3 linked regions of the Lytechinus pictus genome follow. The main gene of each other region encodes a partner of the protein of the gene in region 3 in a complex. Links are inferred from orthologs where the notes say so. Each region holds a gene or a part of one and is shown on either strand. Other genes may lie near its edges.

Region 1 (7,896 bases), on a different chromosome or scaffold from region 3:
CTCCAGTTTTGGAGACCAATTTCCTTTGTTTACATTTGCTGCAAAAGGATTACCTTGGAGGCAAATAAAAATGTGATAAGCAGATTCCTCATGAAAAATTACCCCTTTTCACCGTCTACTTTAAAATTCACCGTCTACTTTTGTTTTGATAAGGATTTTTGTTGTCAATCACACACAAAACAAATGGGCTTCTGACCTCAGTGAGACAAAATTTTGGGTGGAAAAAATCATGCTTTTGTTGGTGTTGTTTCTTTTGTCCTTTTGCAAAGCAAGTCTCCAATGTGGGAGATTGTCTCCCCTATTAGTATTAGTATTGGAGAGAGTCTCCCATATTGGCCGTGCGCCTCTACTGACACTGACAGTACTGTCAAATGAGAATGATGATGCCTCACTCACTATATAAGTACCGGTATTTTGTTTTTAATTTTATTGTGTGAATTATACAATATTTAATTTTTTTTATTTATAAATCCTCCTGAGTGGGGTATGGTCTCTGGAGCTTACAGCATCCCGCAGCCTGTTTGTTTGCGGGGATGTTGTTTTTGCATGCGGCAAGCCGGCAAAGCCAAAACGCTTGGGCTAGCCCACTCATGGGATCAATGCATCTCGCGTGCGAAGGATTCATATGCACATGGTGCACGCGAATTTTTCACACCCTTTTTACTAAAATAACTAAGCCATTCCTTTTAAAATAATGTTTCTAATTGTGCTATGACACTTACCGAACCATATGGATCGTTTCTTGTCTTCTCTTTGGTGTGTTTTTAAGATAAAAAATGCATTTTCTCGTGATCTTCACGTAGATACCGCAGGGTAATTGTGGTTGTAAACTTTTGCTTAAAGAGCTAGAGGGCGCGCGATATTATTCACAAGATGTTTGTTTACGACGGTTCTGCAGCTTGTACTGCTAGCTGCATTTTAGACGCTCAGCATTATTTTCCTCTTTCTGTTTTTTTTTTTTTGCTGTCAAGCGGTATTTTCTATTGTAGCGCCATCAGCGATGATGAAATGTAAAGAGTCGCCTTGAAATGAAGAAAAATTATGTCACATTAATTCGTTAGTTTGTTTCCTATTTTTTTTCACTTTTTTCTTCTTCCTCATCTATGATCAAAGGTGAATACCTTTTTTTGATATCTGTTCTAAAAGCTGGACATTTTAAATATTTTGTTCAAGTAAATAAATCAACAGGATAGTAATCAAAATGCGATAGAGCTGCCCGAGCTGAAAATTCTGATACAAGGACTTGAAAATAAAACATTCTGAGCACTTATTATAACCATGATGAGGAGACCTATATATATATATATATATATATATATATATATATGTGTGTGTGTGAAGTTATACATGTACTACAGCTTTGGCAACTCTTTTATTTAAATATTGTGTGACGTTGTATAAGCGCCTTTGTATAACAATTAAAAGGGTAGGTCTATTTACCTTACAAATTATGCGAGCGCTGAACTTTTGGACATTTAAACCTCAACAAATGGACATTTTTTAAATATGAACAACATCATAAATGTCACTTACAAAAATGATGCCAGCGCGAAGCTCGCGCTTAGAGTTTTTGATATTGATGACAGGACTGTATCTAAATGAAAAATAATGCGAGGGCATTTGCGCTTAAGATTTAAATTTGGGATTTGAAAAGTCCGACAGATTACCTATACTTTTAAAAGAGGAATGACCTCCAGAATTCAAGCGCGAAGCGCCAGTAGATTTATGTTGAAGTTTAGACCTAGAACAGGGACGTTGAACCTTTATAATCATGAAAAAGATGGTATTTTTATAAATAAAACATGGGAGTCTAATTTTGTTTTAGTGTTAATATTCAGATCTTCAAACTTGACATTTTCCTATCCCCTTCATTATCCCCTCTCCTTCTCCCTTTCCCCATTTTCGTTCTCCCTTCTTTTCTTCTCTCCCTTTCCCTTCCCTTTTTCGCTTTTCCTTTCCCTTCTTTTCTTTCCTTTCTCGCTCTTTCCATTTTTCTTTCCCTCTCCCTTCCCCTCTTCCTTTCCTTTGTTTTCTTTCTATTTTATGGTCTCCTTTTCCCTCTCTCTCCTCTACCTTTCCCCCTCCCTTTTCCTTTCCCTTTCCCTCTCCTTTTTTGTGCAAACATATAAAAATACGTGAAGGATATGTTCCTCTTCTGTTTTATACTTTAACAGAAAACATTTTGTTCAACCAAATTATGATTTGTATTTCCAAGTTCCATGTAATATTTTCATTGGAAAATCTCTTAAAGGTCAAGTGCACCCCAGAAAAAATTGTTTGAATAAATAGAGAACTATGTTGATTTTTGGTACAATTTCCTATTATGCGCCGACGACTTGAATCGAGAATGTTCGATAGGAAAATTTCGCATTTCGATTGTTGTTTGCGTAATTTCCACCGCAGTACGAAGGATGACTAAGGACGGACCGAGCGAAGTATCCTGGTTGAGATTTGGAGGTAAGCGATAAAAACACTTTAATAAATAATTTATAATTGCTTTTTCATAAAAACTTGATCATACGATCAAGATTAACATAGCGGACAAATATTGAAAGGTTTGGCGTAGTTTAGTCCCTCACATTCGTGTGATGAATGAAAACGTCAAAATGCACTATGAAATCACATGTGTTGTGCGAGGTTAGTAATACTAACCTCGCATGTTGTGTGAGTGGGGCTAGCCTAGGGTCCGATACGGTGCCGGAGCTCTGGGGAAGGTATCGGGCCCGGCCCCAGGTCGGGCGCGTCGCAGGGCGCAGCTCTGCCTCACTCAGGTCGGAACTTCCGGAAGGTACCGAATAAGTTTGGCCTTGGGCTAATTAAATACCTAATACTTACAGTGGAATTCTTTTGCCTGATTTCCAGCATTCTTTTTACTTCCTTTCATGGTGATATTTATTCAAAAGAAACCGATTTCCCTCCAAATTAAATGGTATAATGATCTAGGACGGTACAAATTCGCGGGGTTGTTGACGATAAAGCTTCACGTCTCTATGCATTTTGCGCATGCGCTTGGGCAAAATGTTTTCTCTATTTTCTTGTTATTAATTTTGTTATTATATTTTTATCCTTTTTAGGAAAGAAAAAAAATAATTTAGTGATTAAATAAATATCAATTTTATTTTAAACTGAATGCGTTTTAAGTTAGACCCTTCCAACTCTTTAAAAAAGAAAAATTATCTGACCAATTTAGCCAAAAAACATGGCGGAGAACATGGACTCGCAGACGGTGACAGAAGAGAATCTTGACCCTGTTACAAATGGAGAAAAAACTGCTGGCAGTGAAGCACAAACTGAAACAGAGTAAGTGAAATAGTTATCAGTTTATTCAGCTATACACTTAAAATCCCCTAATACCATATTGACAACATGCAGGATTCTGCACGACTGCACTTCATTTCCGTCCAGGCCAGCCGTGTGCCCGTGTTCGGAAGTGTTCATTCAAGTCAACTGAGCTGCACGGGCACGGTCTGGCGCGCGCACGGGCCTGCGCCGATCGCGCCCGGGGCAGTACCTCACCAGCTGTAATCGCGCTGGGCCTGGGCGCTCATGCTCAAGTTGGTGGCTGTCTTGTAACTGATCGTGCACTTACTTAGTTTAGGCCTAAATAATCTTCTTGATGGTGTCCTCAGTCATGCCATGAGTTACTAGCAGTAGCATGCCATGGAGGAGTGAAAGTGAAAGAAGAAGAAAATATTGAAATGAGCAAAACTTTATAATTTTTTATTCTTTAAATTTAAGCGAAAAGAAGAAATACCACTTGAAATGAAATAAAATGAGATAAAAATAAAATAAAAATGAGTCTAACTCTATGTCTGAAAATGAGATTAGATCAATAAGAGCAAGATCAAGAAAAGAGATGGGGGGGGGAAGAAAAGAAGAGAAGGGAAAGAAAAGAATAAAGGGAGGAGGGAAGATCATTTTGAAGATCAAGGAGATCATCATTTGGGTGTGGAAATGACCCACATCGAACAACAACAACGAGGAGGGAAAGAGAACTTAAGAGTGAAGTTGAAGAAGGGAGGAGGTAGAAAAAAAATAAGAGGAAAGAATTTAAAAAAAGAAGGAAAATAGAAGAATAAGGAGATGGAACTTAGCTTAGAAGCAGAGGAGGGGGTGGAAATAAAAAAAGAAAAAGAAGACTGAGAAAAAGAATTAAGAGAAGGAGGAACTCAGGAAGAAAGGGTGGGACATTAAGAAAGGAAAGAGATAGGAGGAGAAGAAAAAGAAGAATAAGTTCAAAGAAGAATGATAAGAAAAAGAATAGCAAATGACAAAAAAGAACAAGATGGAGAGGAAGGAGGAAGAATTATTCAAAATAGGAGTAGAATGAAGACAAATGAGGAGGACAAGGAACTGGAGAAGGGGGGGGGGGAGAGCTCGAGAGTGAAAGGAGGGGAGAAGCTCTAAAAGAAATAATGATAGGAGAAAAAAGATAAAAAGGAAAACAGAAAAGAAAAAAGAAAAAGAAGATGATAGAAAAATAAGGGCTGTGAGTGACAGAGAAGTGATAAAGAGGACTCTTACTTTAGTTGTGAAAAATTTGATAATGGAGAAACCTAAATATTTCATCAAGTTTCTCCTCCCTAATTTCAAATCAAGCATGAAAAGATGTCCCCTTTCAAGCAATCCTTGTTGCCATATTAATGGAAAGTATTCAGTTGTTTGCATAATTATTGATTGTGAAAAGTGATAAAATAAAATATTTGTCAATTACCTGTTTGAATATTTCAATCCATGCTGAATGATTGCAGGTAGATAGTATGATTAAACCCTCTAAATGTGTCCAGGGCCTCCAGGCTGTTGAAAATATATACCCTTTTGATACCCAACAAGTTTGGAAGTTTCCTGCAAGACTACCAGGTAACTGAGAGCTGCAGTGGCCTGTAGCAGACTGGTTTAAAATCTTTGTTTCTAGTCAGTATGCTACAGATCATCTTTTCGTTTGGGAGAAATTGAACTTGGGGGGTTTAGGATTTCTGCTAAGAGAGGGTATGAGTACAAATTGGGCTATTTCAGGGGGTAACTATCTTTCCCAAAGCTGAATCCCAAAGCTGAACTATAGGACTGCCCAACTTTGGCAAAAGGAAGCAAGTGACACATCAGTCGAATTTGAGTTGTTTCTGGAACATACTTTCTATATTGCACGTTCAGGCAAAATTTTGGGAAGAAATGATTGTTCGATGAAAAGATATTGATCAAAGATAATGTGATGTTAAATTGCATTTACGCCTATGTAAATGACAAACACACATTTCTCATTTGTAACTTGCTTCCTTTTGCCAAAGTACGGCAGAGGAGTGGACATGTCTATGGTATACTGTCGTACTGTAATACACTACATTTTCTCTCGCTCGCTCTCTCTTCCTTCAATAGTCCTACCAGTAATTTAGACGAAGAACAGCCTTCAACCAGTCAGCAAGGGGCCACAGGTGGAGCGGATGATGATGGAGGAAAAGACAAGAAAAAGAAGAAAAAGAAAAAGAAGAAGGCAGATGGAGCTTCAGGCGGTGCTGCAGTGGGGGTAGACCAGATTGATTCCCGTGTTAGTCAGGTAGTTCCTTTATTCATCTTTTGATTTCTATGCCTGAGCTGTTCCAATATGATCCAATATGATTTTGCAATTAGTCTAAATTCCATCAGAATTAAACCCACTCGGTGCACATGTACTCTCAATTTGGTCTAATTACCTTTCGTTCCAACAATCAATTTGTCTAATACTTTTTGTTTACAGTAGTCTAATGCCCAGATAGTCTCAATTCCCCCTTTTGCACACTTTGTCAAAAGAAAATTTGGCTCATACAGTATTGTTTTGCACTTTATCAAATGAAAATTTGGTTCATGTGAACAGTTAATCTATTCATAGATTAGGCCCCCATTCCACAGAGGGGAGACCTTGGAAGGACTTCTGAAAGACCCAAAAATAGCAAGGTCTTAACAGCAGTCTCCAAGATCACTGAAATTTGACGACTCTGTGAAATACTGATTGATACTTTTTGTCTTACTAGACTTAGACAAGTCCTATAGATATCTTTCAATGATCTTCCAGAGATCTTTTATGCAGCAAGTGATCTTTAAGAATTCTTTCAATGGACTCTCCCTGGTCTTTCAATGATCTTTGAATGATCTCTCACGAGTCCTACAGTGATTTCCCAAAAAATCTTGAAAGACTGTCGAAAGATCATGGAAAGACTATTAAGAACTTTGAAAGTTCATGGAAAGACCATTGAAAAACTCCTGAAAGACCACCAAAAACATTTTCTTGAGGACTACGAAGACCACTGAAAGATCCACCAGGAAACGTGAAAGACCTCAGAGATCTTTTGAAAGTTGATTGAAAGACCCTTGAAAGATCAAGCAAGTTTCATGGTCTTACAGCAGTCTTTCGGAGGTCTTACTCTTTGTAGGAAGGAGATTTAAGTGGCTTTAGACAAAAATTGAAAATAGTGAAACTGGTTAACTGGGTTAAATGACAATGCATTACCAAAACGTCAGAAGACAAAGAGGTTGTAGACCAACTAGGATTAAACCATGTAAGATGAGACCAGATTTAATACAAAATGGACACAAGTGGCAATTTACCCCATTCACATGCCTTTACCAAGCGGAGAATATGTTGAAGATGTTTTTGGCTTGTGCATCCCTCCTGTACTGACCGCACAGAAACGTTGTTAGCATTTACGATGCGCTACATGTAACGGAGGCTCTGATACAATCGGCAATGTGACAGCGATGCCTAATGTTACAACAATGCATTACTTGCATGTGGAAATCAAATGTTTTGGCTTCACAATCCGAAAGATATGACTGGGCTTGCTGTTAGCGCTTTGTTTAACTAACAACGTTTCTGTGCGGCTGGCATAGGTAGTTTCCAATAGGATGCCTGAATCTGGGCATATTATTAATAATTTGTATTTGTATTTATCATCCTTATTTTCTAGTTATTATGTTAAAATGTTCATTTTAAAATTTTTGTGCTTACATTTTGGTGGCAGCACTGTATAAGACTTGGTTCTTCTAAGCTGTCTCCACATTCTTATATTGATATTTTGTTTATTACTATGTATATTTATGTGTTTTTATGAATGAAATAAATTGAAATTGAATTGAATTGAATTGTGAAAGATTACTGGTACTCACAACCACAATAAATTTTCTCGAAATAGAGCTGACATCTTTGAACTGAGATATTAAAGAAAACAGAATAAAATGAAAATGAAATGATGATGCTGGTGATGGTAATGGTGATGATGATAATGATGATGTGGATATGATGATAATAATGGTAATATTAGTTATTGCAATAACAATAATCATGAAAATGATAAGGATCATGATATAACGATAATGACAATAATTTATAAAGATTTGATTAATGGTTATGATGATAGTGATTGTTAGAGTGGTGATAATCACAATAATTGTGTTAAAATGGTGATTGATGATGATGTGGAGCGTTGTGGCCCAGTGGATAAGTCTTCGGAATTTGAAACAGAGGGTCGTGGGTTCGAATCCCAGCCATGGCGTAATTTCCTTCAGCAAGAAACTGATCCACAATGTGCTGCACTCAACCCAGGTGAGGTAAATGGGTACCGGTAGGAAGTAATTCCTCAATAAGCTGTGTGCCCTGTGAACGCCTAGCTTAGCCGCGTAATATAGGAGCGCCTTGAGCACCTAACAAGGTGGATATGTGCGCAATATAAATACCCTATATTATCATTATAACAGTATTGCTCTCTTATTTTCAGAATCCTCAGCTATCCATGTCAAAGCTAAAAGCTGCCATGGAGTTTTTCGTTCCACAGGGGCCTGCAAAGAACATGGACGAAGCCAGGAAAAAGACTTACAACTTCTGGGCAACACAGCCTGTTCCTAATTTGGGTAAGTAATTTCTTCATT
Region 2 (7,638 bases), on a different chromosome or scaffold from region 3:
GGAAGTTGGGGGGGGGGGGGGTGTTGTTAATTCCTCCACGCAGTACCCCGCTCCTATCTGCAGAATACAAACATCTTGTAACTTTATCACTTTAGGCCTCTTGCCACTGCCATTCCATATAACCTCCTGGCCTTGTATTACATATATTTTGTTGTAAGATGATTGATGACAGTATAGGCCTACATAAAATATGCACAAAGCGTGCTCAGTGGCGGTTGTGGACACCCCTCCCTCACTCCCCTTTGATGATGGGGGGGGGGGGGCAATTATTGTATTATGGGTTTCAAAATAATAAATTAGAGTGAAAACAGTGGCGTTATGAGCAAAAAAAAGGTTGTGGGGAACAATATGGCATGTGTAGGAAAACTTCGAAAAAGTCGCAAAGCGGAACTTGTTGCCCTTATTAAATGAAAATATGATTCTATGATAGATTATGACATAATATTCAACAAAATAACGTTTCACCCCCTTCCTTTCATTTTATTAGTTTATTTCCTTGCTGTTCCTTTTTTATGGTTGAACTTTTTTTCGGGGGGGGGGGGGGGACAACCCCCAGCCTCCTAGATCCTACGCCAATGGGTGAAAACGCATATTAATGACCTTTCATTTCCAGTTTACCCAAATACCGTGTGTATTAAATAGTAAGTTTCAATAGTTGATGTAATCATTTCGTGCTCGGTCGCCGCGCCTATTTTCATGTTATATGGTGCTGCTTGTCACAGATTTCGATCCACATGATGAGAGGATCCAACTTTCGCCAGGGGGGGGGGGGGGGGGGTATTTTCATACAGAATTCCCCAGATTATTTTTGAGGGGGTAGTCCTAACTAAAAATTGAAGTTTAAGGAAATATCGTGACATTATTCTTACCATAGATCCATGTTCTTACAAGCTAGATAGGTATCTCATTTAGCCTTAATAAATATTGTGAGCACGATCTCGGGTTTTTGAAATATTACATGTTTTAAGGCCTGAAAATTGAGTATTCTGAGCATTCTTTTTTAAATTACGATCAAGATTTTTATCTAAATAAATTTTGAAATTTATATACTGACCGAAAACTTAACACATTTTAAAGCACATTTTTTGTAACCAGGACTATGGTACTAAACAACTGATAAGAGCGCGAAGCGCGAGCTGAAAAATTTCGGAAAAATGTTGTTTGATATAGTAGAGCCGAAGGGGGGCTGACCACGGAAAATAAATTACAATCAGGGACACGTTGCACTAAACTTTTGCCATAAAAAAACTCTGGCAAACAGAATTATGCCATTAAAACTTACACATTTAAAAACTCAGGCAAAAAATGTCCATATAGTTTTTCTTTAATGCATGCATCAGGGCCCTGGTGGTCACGTTAACGTTTTTAGCCCTCCAGCCCGGTTGTTCTGTGGCTCTTGTCATGATCATTCTGGGATTGAGTTAAGAACGACAATTTCATCCATCCTATGTTCTCCCGATTATTATTTCAGTCGATAAAGACAATGGACTTTCATTATCTCCATCCAAGCAAAGATCGCTTAGATGGTGGCAGCAACCGTGTTTCAGAAAATGTAACTAAGGCAATGACATTGATCACGGACACGTGACAGACAAACAGAATACCACAAACCTTTTTGCTAATCAACAGAAAAACGATTTTGGTCGCTTGTTATTCTTTTCCATCTGCATCCATGCCACATTCCTAGACAATGGTTAAGCATGATCTAATCAATATCAAAACCTTGTCTTGTTCATCATTATTAGCGCTCCAAATGATTTGTCGATAATTTCACGTCGTCTAAGAGCTTTGGGATGTTTTGTTCTCTACAAAGGTATCATTCAGATGTTAAATGTTTTCTTTGAGGCTCAACTTTTATTATTTTTTCCAATAAAATGAAAAGAAACGTACCCTTTTCTGCGTTCATGCCTCATAATATTGATGAAAGCTTGTAATATACGAATTTAGCAATAGAATGTGTTTTGTTAGTTTTCTTCAGTGTCCAGGCGAAACTCATGCACACAAAAATAAGATAACACTTTAAGATATTTAACACTACACTTTAAGATGTTAAACTCTACACTTTAAGCTGTTTAACACGAACAGTCTACGGATAGCTGTTATTAAATATTTTTTTATCGACAGTAGATGAATGATATTGATGATAGATATTCATAACGAATCACTACTCTGTGTTTGGACACAATCATGAGCAATTATTGAAGGGCGGCAAATTTTCCCCTTTTCACACGCTGACCGAGGTGGGGTGGCAACGATTCGACCATCTAACATGTCTTATGCACTTTCGCAAAAAGTGGCAATTAAACGCAATGTGCAAAATGCAAACCAAAAAGAGACTGACCTTGGGGGGGGGGGGGTCGAATAAGCTTGTAATGAATTAAATTTAGGTATAACTTTTAATGCGTGCAAGCAGGCTCATGAAATGAGAATGAAGATGAAAATAAAGCAATAGAATAAGGGGAACTAAAAGTTTGAAGTTCGGTATAATTCGAATTAGGGCCGAGGGGATATCGTAAGCGCTTAAGAACTGCCATAAACAAATTGTTACAAATTTAGATTAAAATTATGGTTTAAAAGTTTAAACATTTGTTAAAGTGACGGATTTTAACTTCGTGCTTAAAATTTTAACACCTTTTTTTTTTTTTTTTGTAAGATGTGTGTCCAGGCAGATTGTGTGTCCGGATAATCAATTTTGAACAGTCATTTGAAAAAAAAATAATAAGCGAAGTTTCATCAATATTTAGTACAAAATATTAGGTAATATTACAGAGAACAACATAGAAGACGATTACAACTATTGAATTCATATTTTTAGTGTAATCCAAATACAAAAAATAAGGCTTCAAAATCATAAAGACAGTGTCCGGACACCCGATCCCCCTTGCTACTTACCACGGACGGATGTGGGTTGTTTCTAGGAGGAGAGATGTGACCATGGTAACCTTGCCACACCCTCCATATCGTCGCTGGGACATTGGCCGATTTCCCGGTCTTGGGCTTGATAGATTCCAAGCTGTAATCTTGGGCGTACAAACTCCCGTAGCGGTCAACGCCGGCTGCCTCGTCTTCGGGAAAAATCTCCCAACTGTCCTCGTGCTGGTTTTTAATTTCTTTTGCAGCGCATTTTGCCCCCGGTGTGGGTAGCATGTGAATGCACGCTGCTGCCATTTCGGTTCCTTCCGCTTAAAATATTAAACTATTGTTAAAATATCATTACTTTAATTTAATTACTTAACACCACCTTATCCGGGGAATGTTTTGTTTACTAATGTCCACTTCATGAACTTGTCGCGTCGTAATGACCATTGTCTTTGATGCATTATGTATACAACTGACGTCACAAAAGAAAAGTTTTGCGCGCACGCGCGTGTAATTAGAGGCTCATTATTGGTCCATTTGCCTTTATCACCTGACATTGGTAATTAGTCACGAGGTATTGATTTATAGTCTGCTATGCCATTGCGGTGGTTGAATGCACTACCAGTTGTATAAGTTTCTACATTATCATTAATGATTTAACGATCATGATTCCCTTTCACCCAGTATTGCTGTGGGTGATAAAGCGTCAGAAATTCAATATTTAGTTTCATTATCAAAGACTGTGTCCAAAAAAGACAACTATCGTATCACCTTGTCCAGGATTAAGTTTAGGCTTATGCTAGCATTTGGTTCTAATATCTTTTTGTTTTCATGTCGTGAATGATGTCCTTTCATTTTAATGAAAACTTTAAAATCCATTAATGGGGGATAATCTGCACTTTTTTTGTGCTATCAATATCCCCTCTTGAAAAAGAAAATATTTTAGCTGAACAGTGTGTTTGTTGTTCCTTGTCTTCACCAGTTATCAATGTGACATTCTCTCACAGTGACAGAAAAATACATCATTTTCTTTGTATTGTTTCAGTGTTCTATTGGAGGCATATCACTATACGGTATATATACATTCCTACATCCATATCCTAGTATCGTTTATGGTGACAAAACACCCCAATAACTCTCCCTGATTAACAATTTATAATCAAGAGCCTCCGTATTCCTGTCTAACCAATCCGAATAACATTGCCCATCATCATGGCCAAATTAAGAACCCACTTTGTATTTGATACTTTTGCCATGTATTTTTTTTTACTCGCACTATTGCAGTGAAAAAGCTGTACACTTTGGACCTATTAAAAAGCACAACAGACAAAAGAAAAAAAAAAGGGGGGGGGGGTACTCCTAATTAAGCCGCCTCCGAGGGGCCAGCTCAACATTGATGTGGTTTAAAAAAATGCCTGTACCAAACCCCACTTGGGCCGCGGAACGGTTTTGAAAGGGTGTGGGGGGGGGCTGACTATGCAACAAACCACAATCAGATGGTCATTTTTACGTTTTTGTACACGGTTTTGGAAAAACAAAGTGGGGGGCTGTGTTATCCGCGGCCCCCGCAAAGCTAAGTGTACGCTTTCGTGAAATATTTCAGAAAAAAATGAAATATGTATTATCGTCCATTATCTATTCTGAGTTTCTTATACGTTATAGCTCTATATACTCGCCCTGAATATTTTTTTTTCCGACGAATTCGGCGTCAGCGTCTTTGCGCGCATATTGGTCGCAGCTGGCGCTATCGACGATCGGCAGTTGCTACGGGAAACGTGCGACAAAACAGCCTTCGTCGATCGCAAGCTCTCGTTTCGCGGATTTCGTACGTGTACAATACACGGGAATCCAATACAAATTTTGTGTGTAGATTTCCTATGCAGAGCTAGCTAGCTAGATTAACGTAAACAATCTTCACTACGAAAAGATACATGGACTTGGCAGCGAGATTTCTTTGAAAAAGACTTGTTTCTGTTGATATTTTTACATCTTTAACTTTTGGTGAAGGACAGGAAAACTCACGAAAATGCCGGGTGTCGGCAAAACAAACAGCAACACTCCGATTACGGAGCAAATATCAGAATTGCAGCGTAAAATCTCCTTGTTGGGTGAGTAAAAAAAAAAATCATTTTGTGACTTGTCATGTCATGTGCAATGTAAATTAAATGGGGATGTAGAAATTGAAATAAATTGATACGCCCAGATCTAGATGACCATGACGTACTCTCATTGGTAACACTTAATGAAGTTTTTTTTCATAAACACAAGGGGCCATATTAAATTGGTAATGCAATGATAAAGTTTGACTTTGAGTTGAAGATGTTCAGAAATAAATGGAATCTGGACTGAACAGAACAGTGTCAAGACAAGCGTGAGTGAGAGAGACTGAACTGAAGTCAGTGAGATGTTATTTGTTAGGATCTATCAACAAAAATAAGCTAGGGCAGGTATTAGTCTATTTGAGACGAGACCAAAGTCAATGATCAAATGGATAAAAGGTCTTGTTGATGATTAAGTTTGGCAGAGGCCAGGGTCGCTGGCACATGTGTGACTGACAGTTCAAAAGCAGACTTGTAAGGGCTAAGCCTAAGGCAAGGATGGTTGTTCCAATGTTATCGACTACGACTACGTGGGATACAGTCTGGGGAGGGTAGGCCTAGTACTAGTAGTAAAATGAAAGAAATTGTGAAATAATCAAAATTGACAAAACGTAATGTTAAAGTCCTAGGCCTACTTGGTTTCCTTAGCTTAGCCTTAATTAGGGCTTTTAGTTAGGCTTAGATCTAGAATCTACATGTAGGCTGTAGCTGAATCTGTCTGTTTGGAGGAGTTTTTTGTTTTCACCTCCATACATTCTAACACATGGTCATGGAGGATGTGTAGTGACTAAAAACATCCAACGGAATTGGGAACCAACAACATCTGTTGCCATGTTGGGTTCCTGGTCCTGATCCTCAGGTGGATATTGATTACCAATAAAGAGAAACAAAAACTTTTGGTCTAGGAGACTAGGTTCTCTTTGACACGCTTACTATATTGAGGATGGTAAAAATCAGATAGGTCTATTGATCTTGGTGTCAGGAATTGATAAATAAATCCACAGAACAAAAGTTACATGTAGAATCTGTTCAGCATATTAGATGCAAAGATATTGGTATCAATTTGAATAATTTTACACATTGGATCTAATACTAGTAATACGCATCTGACTACATGGTTAAACTGGTTGATGAAAAATGGATGCCATGTTTATTAGAGTTTATCAATATGATCATTCCATTAATGATGTTTAAAGTCATATGATTTTTTTTCATATATTGTTCCATGTACATGTACCTAATTCAGTTCAATGATTATTTTATTTATTAATATTTGTTTAAAGATGGTGACAGGAAAGCATATTACGAGAGTTCCCAGTGGACCATTAAGCAGAACCTTGAAGTCATCCGTAAGTTGCGACAGGAAAACAAGACCCTACACAAGCGGCTAGCAGCAAGCAAGGCGGGAGATGACCGGGTACTGGATATTGCCTTCAAGAGTCGAGAGGTGGAGCGCGCCTCGCTCAGAGGCAAATCTGGACGGGTGGGTAACTTAAATGTTTCTTAACCCATTAGGTGCGAGTATATATGGGCTGCCGCTGGAGTCTATGGAAAACTTGTTATAGCAAAATCATCCAGTCTGCAACGGGTTAATCTTTCATGAAGTCATGAATAACCTTTGCAGCTTGGTAAAATAAAAAGGAAATCAGAAAAAAAAACCTTTAATATTGATCTTAATTTTGTTTTGTTTTTCAAACTACTCTAGGAATCAAACACCAGTTATGTACATGTATGCCACTATTAATTGATAACCAATGTTGTTGATAACTTAATGTTTTGACCAACATAAGGTATGCTAGTAAAACGTTATTTCAATTTTAATCTAGAGGAGAGTTTGGTCCTTGCATACTCCTAGTCTTAGTTTGGTTTGTTCAATCAGAAAAGTACTTGTACAGTATGATTATGAGAATACATGTATGATTTAGATTCAATTATATTCCTGTCTACCTCTGATATTGTGGTTATACATGTAAGTTTCTTTGTGTGTTTTTTTTTGCATATTATTATTGATAAGAATATCAGCTTAATAGATGTATCAGTTAAAGCTTTAACCGAATATTTTCCAGGGAAAGGTTTATAGTAGGCACATGCTGATAATTATACCAAGGTTTAACCCTAGTCTAACTTTAAAGTAGAATTTTAACCACACTTCTATTGAATGCTGGCTTCATAATATTTCTTCCATATTCATGGCAACTGTATTGTGCCAATCACTTCATTAAAATTCATTATATATTTGTATTTTCCTATTCACCCCATTTCAGTTAACTTTTGAAAACTTTTTTTGCAGCAGGATGAGAATAATGTTTAATTGGAGAATAATAAAAACTGGCACTCCATATAAGTGTGGTCGAATGCAACGCAGGTTTAACCTAACCATGGCTATAGAAATACATGTACCTCCCATATTGTTCAGTTACTGTCAGTGGGTCAGTGGTATTTTTAAAGTTGATCTCCCTCTTCCTAGTCTTTTTTCTTGAATTAGACATTCTTATGTTTGACACAGATGGGCAGGTATTTATTTCAATTATACCTTTAAAGAGAGTACATGTATTTTGTTTAAATTTGTTAGTGATAACAAAATATATCCCTTTATTGTGGCTTTACAGGAAGCAATCCGTATCATGGACCAGAAGGCGTGTGAGGCCAAGAAAAAACTCAATGCAGAGAAGTCCCAGAC
Region 3 (7,697 bases):
ATGGTATATTCATTAGCGATGGTTTTGCGCGTAAGAAAGGATCACCAGTCGTTCTTAAAGTCGCTCTTAACTTACGAACAGCTTTATGAAACGGCCCCCTGATCCTTATCTTTGCATTATTCAGAACAAAAAATTATATTCCAACCCTAAACTCTAACCCTATGCCCTCTGAGATATTGAGACAGAAGCAAATGCTGCATGAGCGTGCGTCGTGTCACCTTACTAATAACCTCTACACGAATACCTTCAATATCATAAATTCAATCTTCAGGATAACTAAGCACATTACCAAGTAGAAAGGAGACCAGCACAAAATATTTAAGTTTTAACAGTGATGACTACAATGTTTTTCATCAATATAAAAAACAGACCCCACATCCCATTTACAAAAAGAGTTGTGATAGATCCAATCAAACTCAAATTGCGATTGATTCAAAGCAATCTAAAATTGTGTAGTGAAGAGATAGGAATTTGTATTTTAGATTTTACTACTTAAGTAATTTCTATCAATCAAAATTCAAGTTTGAATTAAATATATTGCAACTCTTTGTAATATACAGAAGCCAGATGGCTTGATTCTCAATATGAATTTTATTTTCAAAGTGAAACTACTCATTCAACTGTCTCTAAACAAAATTTTAATCCTAGTCTTGATAGCAAAAAACATTGTAAATACCTCTAAAGAAAGCTTCCTTATCAATAGAACTCACCTCATCTTGTTTATTGAAAAAAGACAAATCCCCTTTGTTTTCTAGTTTTACTTTGGAAGGACCTGGTTTCAGAAGAAGAGATAATATAAATAAATAAAAGGGCTTCAGTAGAGTGTACGCTACTTACTAGACATGTTATATGACGCATTTTGATATTTCATTAAACACTTGATAAAGCCCAAATGGGCAAAAATTCATTGTTTACAGAGTGCATGCTACGAGTATACATGTACCAACATACATGTATGTTAATATTTTTACTTCAAATGTTTTATGTAGATCTAACAAGTTTTACATGTATGTTTGGTTCTGGGCAGGTGTTTGTAATGTAATGATGAAGGTCGCTTTATTTCATTTATTGCTTGACAGAATGCGAATGGGGTTTAATCATATCTCTCAAAATAAATCAGCTAAGTGACATAACTAGAAGTATAATGCATGTATTCTATCAAGCGCAGTAAACTAGTTCACATACTTCCTATTGAGTTTTCAATTGCTTCTTGTGCTTTCTGTATGCCAAGACGGAATTCTTGGAGCTCTGGTCTAAATTTATTGCCGCGGTGATAAAAGACAAGGGCCATCTCAAAGTCTCCCATCTGATAAAGCGCCTCAGCCTTCTGAAATAAACCCTGTTAAAGAAAAAATACATACCAGAAAGGTGTATGCAAAATATCAACAAAAGTGAAATAAATCTTTCATTAAACATCAATAAGCCTATCCAATAAACACAAAAGCATATGGCTTTGCTAAAATGATTTGTTAAAATTTCTTAAACTTTACTTCTGATTCTTGACTTGTTGTAAAAGATACAGCACTGAAAATGAATATAATCATGTATAAGTTAATGAATATTTCTTCTTGACCATTTTCTACAGCTGGCTGTATGTGCAGTTAATACCACAATGAATTGAAATCAATATGCTTTATACACTTTCATCATTGAAGAAACAGGAAAAAACAGCAAGTCCATTAAGGTGATAAATGTTATAATCAGCACAGATACCGCTCAAAGGAAAACAGAGTTGAATGAAAATATCTATTTAGGAGGAACGGTCAACTTTCCACTCAAAATCATATTGGCAGACACAATTTAATGTCAATTCTATATTACTCAAAGGCCATTTATAAGAAAAATATTTCATTAAGTTCATATCATTCTGTTATCCTTTAGATCACCTCTTTTTATATGTTGATTTTTTTTTTGCTTATCACCTATAATAATTGTTTTTTAATCAAATTTGTTTATTGTTTATTCCTTTTTTTCCTGTTGGAGGGCTTTATGACTAACCTTAATGTAGTTTTTATCATCTGAGAGTGCTGCCTCAGCATCTTTTAATGCTTGTTTGGAATCACCGAGTTGAAGGTAGCACTTAGATCTGGCAACCAAGCAGTTCTTGTCTGTGGGTTCTATTTCTAAAGCCTACAAAACAATAACAAGAGAAAAGAAATGAAAATTAACCATTTCAAACTAGGTGCATTACAATGCATGTAGGCCTATAAAACAAAGTCACAAAAACTTACCTTTATATCTACATGTATTTTTGCCAGATGTGTTTGTGTTGACAAAACTTTTTGCTCTGGACCATTGCATACAGAGTATATCAAATTTAGAAAATTTTTACTTCACTAAACAAAGGTGACATGAATGGGCACCCAGCAGGATTAATTCCCTGAATACAACAAGCGCTGGAAGAATAATTTGAAGCTAAAGTATAGTGTGCCTTTAAAAATACAACTTTATAAATGCCAGGCATAAATAATGATTATCTCCCTATATTTTGATCAATGGGAGAATCTCACGATGTTGCCTGCAAAACAATTACAACCAAGTTTTTCATTTTAAAAAAATCAGCATGAGCAAGATCTGCCTTTCTTAAACAAGTCAATGGTAGGTGAAATTCATTAATAGAAAATTTGAATTGGACATGGATAAGGATAAATATGATTTCTTAAAAACCCAAGCACTATTTTTAATTCAATTGACATTTTGCTACATGTATGTGCACACACACACACACACATCCAACATGCACATACTAAATTATAGCCCTCCATTGCACGTCTGTAATCTCTCTTTCTCATGTGATCCTCCGCTTCTCCTATATACGACTGCAGGAGCTTCAACTGCTCCTCCCGCTCTTGCATGGGATCCACATATTCATCCATGATGGATCTAAATTCGCTCCTTCAAATATCCAACCAATATCCAACTTCAGTACAGTGACAGATATCCAAGATGATGTGCAAGTCTTTGTGTTTCAGCAGGCAGCCATTACACTACATGTACAGCATGAAGAGCCCCTTTGAGATAAGTCATAGCAACAAACAGCAATGCATATTCATGTCTTCTTGACCTCATGCATATTCATGAATGCATCATTGAGTAGGTCTCAACAATGGATAACAATGGATAAAGGAAAGGGGTATCTCTATAGACTTGATCAGGGAATGTACCAGCTAGAAAGTATATTGATTTCCATTTGCAAAGTGATCAATAAAGAGTGGATGAATCCATTTATTGAGAAGGGAAGGGTAGCGTGGTCCTATGTGTTTAAAATTCTCAAATAAAATTTATCTCTGCTGAATTTCTACTATCACAGTTAAATATCTCGGTATACATGTATTAGAGTATTTTAATGTGCAATATAGTCTTTAACATAAATTTTCACTTTCATTCCCTTTATGAATATCTTGTTCATTAGGCATTCTTTAATTAGCATTTTGCTTGTAATCTACTTTTTTGGAAGACAAATCAAAATGGAAATTGCTGAAACAATCACCGCCCCCCCCCCCCCCCCCACACCTCCACAATGGTTGGTTCATTAGTACTCAAGTCAGAATAAATTTGGGCCAACACTCCAGGTTCAGGAATGAACAAGAACTGCGTAATGTACAGATGACACAATGTTTATGGTTTTCATCAAAGACATGAATGGCTTCTCTCAACCATTTGCTTTTAATGTTTATGAAATGTTGGTGGAAACTGTATATTAAATAATTTGATAAACTCAACACAAACTGAACAGGTTCACTTTTAAGAAGTCAGGGTCATTGTACATTTACATGATGCCTGGAAGCTTCAGCAGAGTTGAAAAATTTTGCCAATGCAAGCTAATTACTCATAATGCAGTCAGGCATCTTCTTATGTCAGCTTGAGTAAGCAATATTTTGTCATAAGACTAAAGCCTCTAGTTCAAGCTAACTGTCATCCATCCATGAAAACACTTAGAGCCTGTGGGAGGTTTTCGAATGAGGTCAAACCAAATGGGTCCCTGCATTGTATCATCCTAATTTTTTTTTCTCTCAAAATAGACAAGATAACAATTCTAAACATGAAAATTTTAACTTCTGTGGGGGGACTTTGAAAAGGGAACTTGTATTGGTAATCTGTATTGAGAGATGTAGGGTAATCACCCAGTTTAAGATGTGGTTTGGTTAAAAAAAATACTTGGATCTAGACTCTTAAGTAGATCTACTTAGGTCTACTGACGTTGGCTAGACTTAGCTTAGTCGTAGCAAATCAAAGCCTTGCCCGTTTACCGGATCACTGTGCTGCTTTATTTTAGCAAAGCCATAGTCTAGACTTCTATACTCTCTCTCTCTCTTAACTGATCCCTCCACTATTTGGAGATTCCTAGGGTCCAAGGAAAACAGATTTGTTCCATGTACACTGTCATTCTGGCTAGGAGGTTTGAACCATATCAGAATGGAATTTTGTGGAGGAAAAAGAGGGATGATAAAAGTAGACTATTGTGTACTTCATTGGGCAAACAAGAGTAAAATGGTATAAGGGTAGCCTGAGTAAAGTCCTGTGGGTTGGCATTGACATATAGATTGACACATGTTGGGAAGTCCATAAGGCAGTCCTTGACTTTGCCAATAAACACCTTTTTTTTCTTTTTTTCTTTATATATTTATTAACATATATACAAGTTAATATACAAACACAACACGTTTACAGAATTGCCAGCATACATACTTATAACAACAACAAAAAGCCTATGCACTAATGAGTAATAAACTGACTGTACATAAAAACACACACAATTAGGAGAAAATTGTGAAAATAGTAGAAGCACACTATCTGATTAAGAACATGTCTGGTACAGAAATACCAAAGAATCAGGACTGAGTCTGAGGCCTCGAAGTTTCAAATGAAAAAGACCATTTTCTAAAGTGAATACCCAATTTATTTCTTTTCTCTGCTATTTTGTAATCAAGTTTCTTTTTGTAGTTGATGAAAATCATAAAGGCGTCGAAATTTGGTTCCAGTTTTTTAAATCTGCAACGGTATATATAAAATTTCAGATAAAGTACTAAACAATTTATACATTTCATGTGAACTGAATCATTAGAAACACCAAACATCTTCTCAAAAGTTGTCCAATTTAGGTGACCTCCTATTTTTGTACTGATTAAAGATAATAGGTTTTGCCAAAGCGGGGTAATTTTTGGACATTCACAAAACAAATGGACCAGTGTCTCTGGGAAAGCTGAACAATAAAAACAATTTGGAGATTCTATTTTTTGCCAATAAACACTTGACGGAGATGGTCTAGGTTGGGACACTGCCCAGTAAAATGTTCCACAGTCTCGTCGGCAGATTTGCATAGAGGGCAAGTGCGACTGGTTGATTTCTTCAGCGTGAAAAGACGACACTGTGTTAAGTAAGGTGGCTCTGAGGAGTTGAGCTCTCACCACAAATGAAATGCTCTTCGTAAGACAGGAGAGGGTACACTTTTCAGGTACAGGAGTTTAGCAGCAGGAGGTATACAATCTTGCCATTACTTAAGAGATGGCTTGGAAAGGATTCCTTGACATGTGTTGTGTTTGGTCAGCAGGTTCACTCTGTAATTGACCAATCTCTTCCAAGATGAGTATACGGGAGGATTCGAATGAATGCTGTGAAGATCAGGAAGATTGTACTTCTTTGTTATCTCCTGCAAGAGCCGTATTGTAGGAGAGCCTAAGTTGAGGGCTTCCAGGAATGTTCTAAACTCAAAGCGGCTGTGATCGAGGTTGACGAGTTGACCTAGAAGCAGCAGTTTCCTGAGATCTATTTGTGATGAGACTGGAAGGAGGTCAGTGAGGAGGTAGACAATCTCGTCGGCAGCAGTCTTTGGGATCCCTAGAACTTGCTTAAACAGATGGGATTGAGCCCGGTGTAACTTTACAAGCATAGATTTAGTGAACTTGTGGATAGAGGACCCGTGCAGCATTCTAGGGATGCAGAAAGTTTTCCAGAGCTGGGATACAAGAGTAGGAACCAGACCTCCGGTATATGCTCCAGTACCAGTGAGAGCAAAGAAAGTACGAATACCGGTGCCAATAATGTCGCCAGTTGGATCCAATCGTATTCCAGACTTGAGGATACCAAGATGAGGGTGACTGACTTTCTCTTCGATGGTAGATCCATCGACTTCCCAGGATGAGTTCGATGGTTGTTTTTTCCTGCTGCTCACAATCACTGCACTCTTAGACTATATACTACCTCTGAAAACTCCTCAATATCTAGACCTATACTGCTATAGATCTAGATCTAACTCTATAAAGTTTGATCTAGATTCTATTTCTAACGTTAGATAGACCCAGGCCTGGATAGACCAATAAACAGGTCTATTTCTGTCAGGGATTAGACTGATAAATCCGCTGTTTCAGAGGAGTTTTTCAACATTTTCTGATTTTTTTCTGTCCTCCTACACAGACGGATGACGGCCATTGGGCTTGTAAATGGTGGAGCAAACAACCGTCGCTTAACTACAGCTACAGCGTCTATGGTCTGGAGAAAGAGTGCGTTCTTGCACCCTCCTCGATCAGATCTAGAATATCTATTCCTAAATTTTGCTTTTTGACGGGGAAAAAAGGAAGAAATGATAAAGATGAATTCATATCAAATTATAATGGAATCAGCTTCTGAAAAATATGCTTGAAAATAGCGAATTTTGATGACAAACAGATCGGGGCGGGTCAGCCAGGTTCTTGTTCGATCGCTGTCAGCTACATGTACAATAAGTTACAGCCGAGTGTACAGAAGAAGTGCCAGCGGATTGGCTGGCACGTTCGTACGCTCAGCTGTGTGTATTTGTGTGTGTACTTGAGTTTTGTCAGACGTGTATCAATCAGATATGATTATTTACGTCTGGGACCGACCTTTAACGTCGCCATCCGAAAGACGTGACCAGGGCTCGAACCCCTGCGTCAATTTGTAACTTCCCCACAGCTTGGATTACAGGCGCACGCCACAACGCCCAGTTGCTGTAGATCTAACTTTTATTACTGTAGCTGCACTGACGGCAATCGAAGAAGAACATGACCGATCCTGATCTGTAGCCGTTTGTCATCAAAATTCGCTATTTTCCACCATATTTTTCCACCAGACAACAAAAGGACTCACTACACTAGTCTCTACCCTTCTCCAAAGCTTATGTGAAGACTCAAGTTTGTATTTGTATCACCCTTTCTTTCATTCTGTTTTTTTTTTCATTGTTTTTTTTTCCTCTCTCTGACTCTGAGTCTGACTCTCTCCCACGGCCCACCCGGTCCACATTAAACTCGGTCACTCACGGAAAGCAGCTCAACTCACCAATGCCGTCGAGTAACTATGCAATGCTTTTTTGTACTCTCCTTGCTTAAACAGAACATCACCTTCTGCCATATAAATGGCAAAAGAGTCTTGATTTGTTTCTCCCTCCGTCATTGTGGAAGAGGCCAAAACTTTGGTGAAAGATGAATAATATTGATTATTTCGGCCCTCTGTCCTTTGCCTGGTTCTTCGATCGAAAGTCCGTCACACGAATTTCACGTAAACAATATATGCGATATGCGATATGCATGCATTTCCTACATAGGTTTACCTTAGCAACGTTACAGAGCATGCGCAAAAAAGAAAGAAAATGTTAACGCCATCTCGCGCTGAAAATCATAAAAGGTGTACGACAGGCCATCGCCACGGAAATAACAATTAAATTAAGGTTATTATTTTACTAT

What was found. The genes of interacting proteins can lie anywhere in the genome.
Region 1: outer dynein arm-docking complex subunit 4-like (region 3) and calaxin-like share a complex: the UniProt entries of both Homo sapiens proteins name them as parts of the outer dynein arm-docking complex. The link is inferred for Lytechinus pictus from reciprocal best matches to the Homo sapiens genes ODAD4 and CLXN.
Region 2: outer dynein arm-docking complex subunit 4-like (region 3) and outer dynein arm-docking complex subunit 3-like share a complex: the UniProt entries of both Homo sapiens proteins name them as parts of the outer dynein arm-docking complex. The link is inferred for Lytechinus pictus from reciprocal best matches to the Homo sapiens genes ODAD4 and ODAD3.

The regions. Positions count from the first base shown.
Region 1 is NC_087257.1:8,581,758-8,589,653, reverse strand, and holds the start of calaxin-like, read right to left. Parts: upstream 3,023-7,896; 5' UTR 2,885-3,022; coding exon 2,836-2,884; intron 1-2,835. Other genes in the region: glycylpeptide N-tetradecanoyltransferase 2-like, read left to right, coding at 3,200-3,300, 5,374-5,551, 7,746-7,878. UniProt on the Homo sapiens protein: Component of the outer dynein arm-docking complex (ODA-DC) that mediates outer dynein arms (ODA) binding onto the doublet microtubule. Seems to regulate the assembly of both ODAs and their axonemal docking complex onto ciliary microtubules.
Region 2 is NC_087259.1:10,445,873-10,453,510, reverse strand, and holds the start of outer dynein arm-docking complex subunit 3-like, read left to right. Parts: upstream 1-4,616; 5' UTR 4,617-4,885; coding exon 4,886-4,967; intron 4,968-6,241; coding exon 6,242-6,441; intron 6,442-7,567; coding exon 7,568-7,638. Other genes in the region: uncharacterized protein LOC129277736, read right to left, coding at 2,893-3,168. UniProt on the Homo sapiens protein: Component of the outer dynein arm-docking complex (ODA-DC) that mediates outer dynein arms (ODA) binding onto the doublet microtubule. Involved in mediating assembly of both ODAs and their axonemal docking complex onto ciliary microtubules.
Region 3 is NC_087245.1:21,557,411-21,565,107, reverse strand, and holds the start of outer dynein arm-docking complex subunit 4-like, read right to left. Parts: upstream 3,021-7,697; 5' UTR 2,877-3,020; coding exon 2,748-2,876; intron 2,131-2,747; coding exon 1,999-2,130; intron 1,340-1,998; coding exon 1,186-1,339; intron 773-1,185; coding exon 711-772; intron 1-710. UniProt on the Homo sapiens protein: Component of the outer dynein arm-docking complex (ODA-DC) that mediates outer dynein arms (ODA) binding onto the doublet microtubule. Plays an essential role for the assembly of ODA-DC and for the docking of ODA in ciliary axoneme.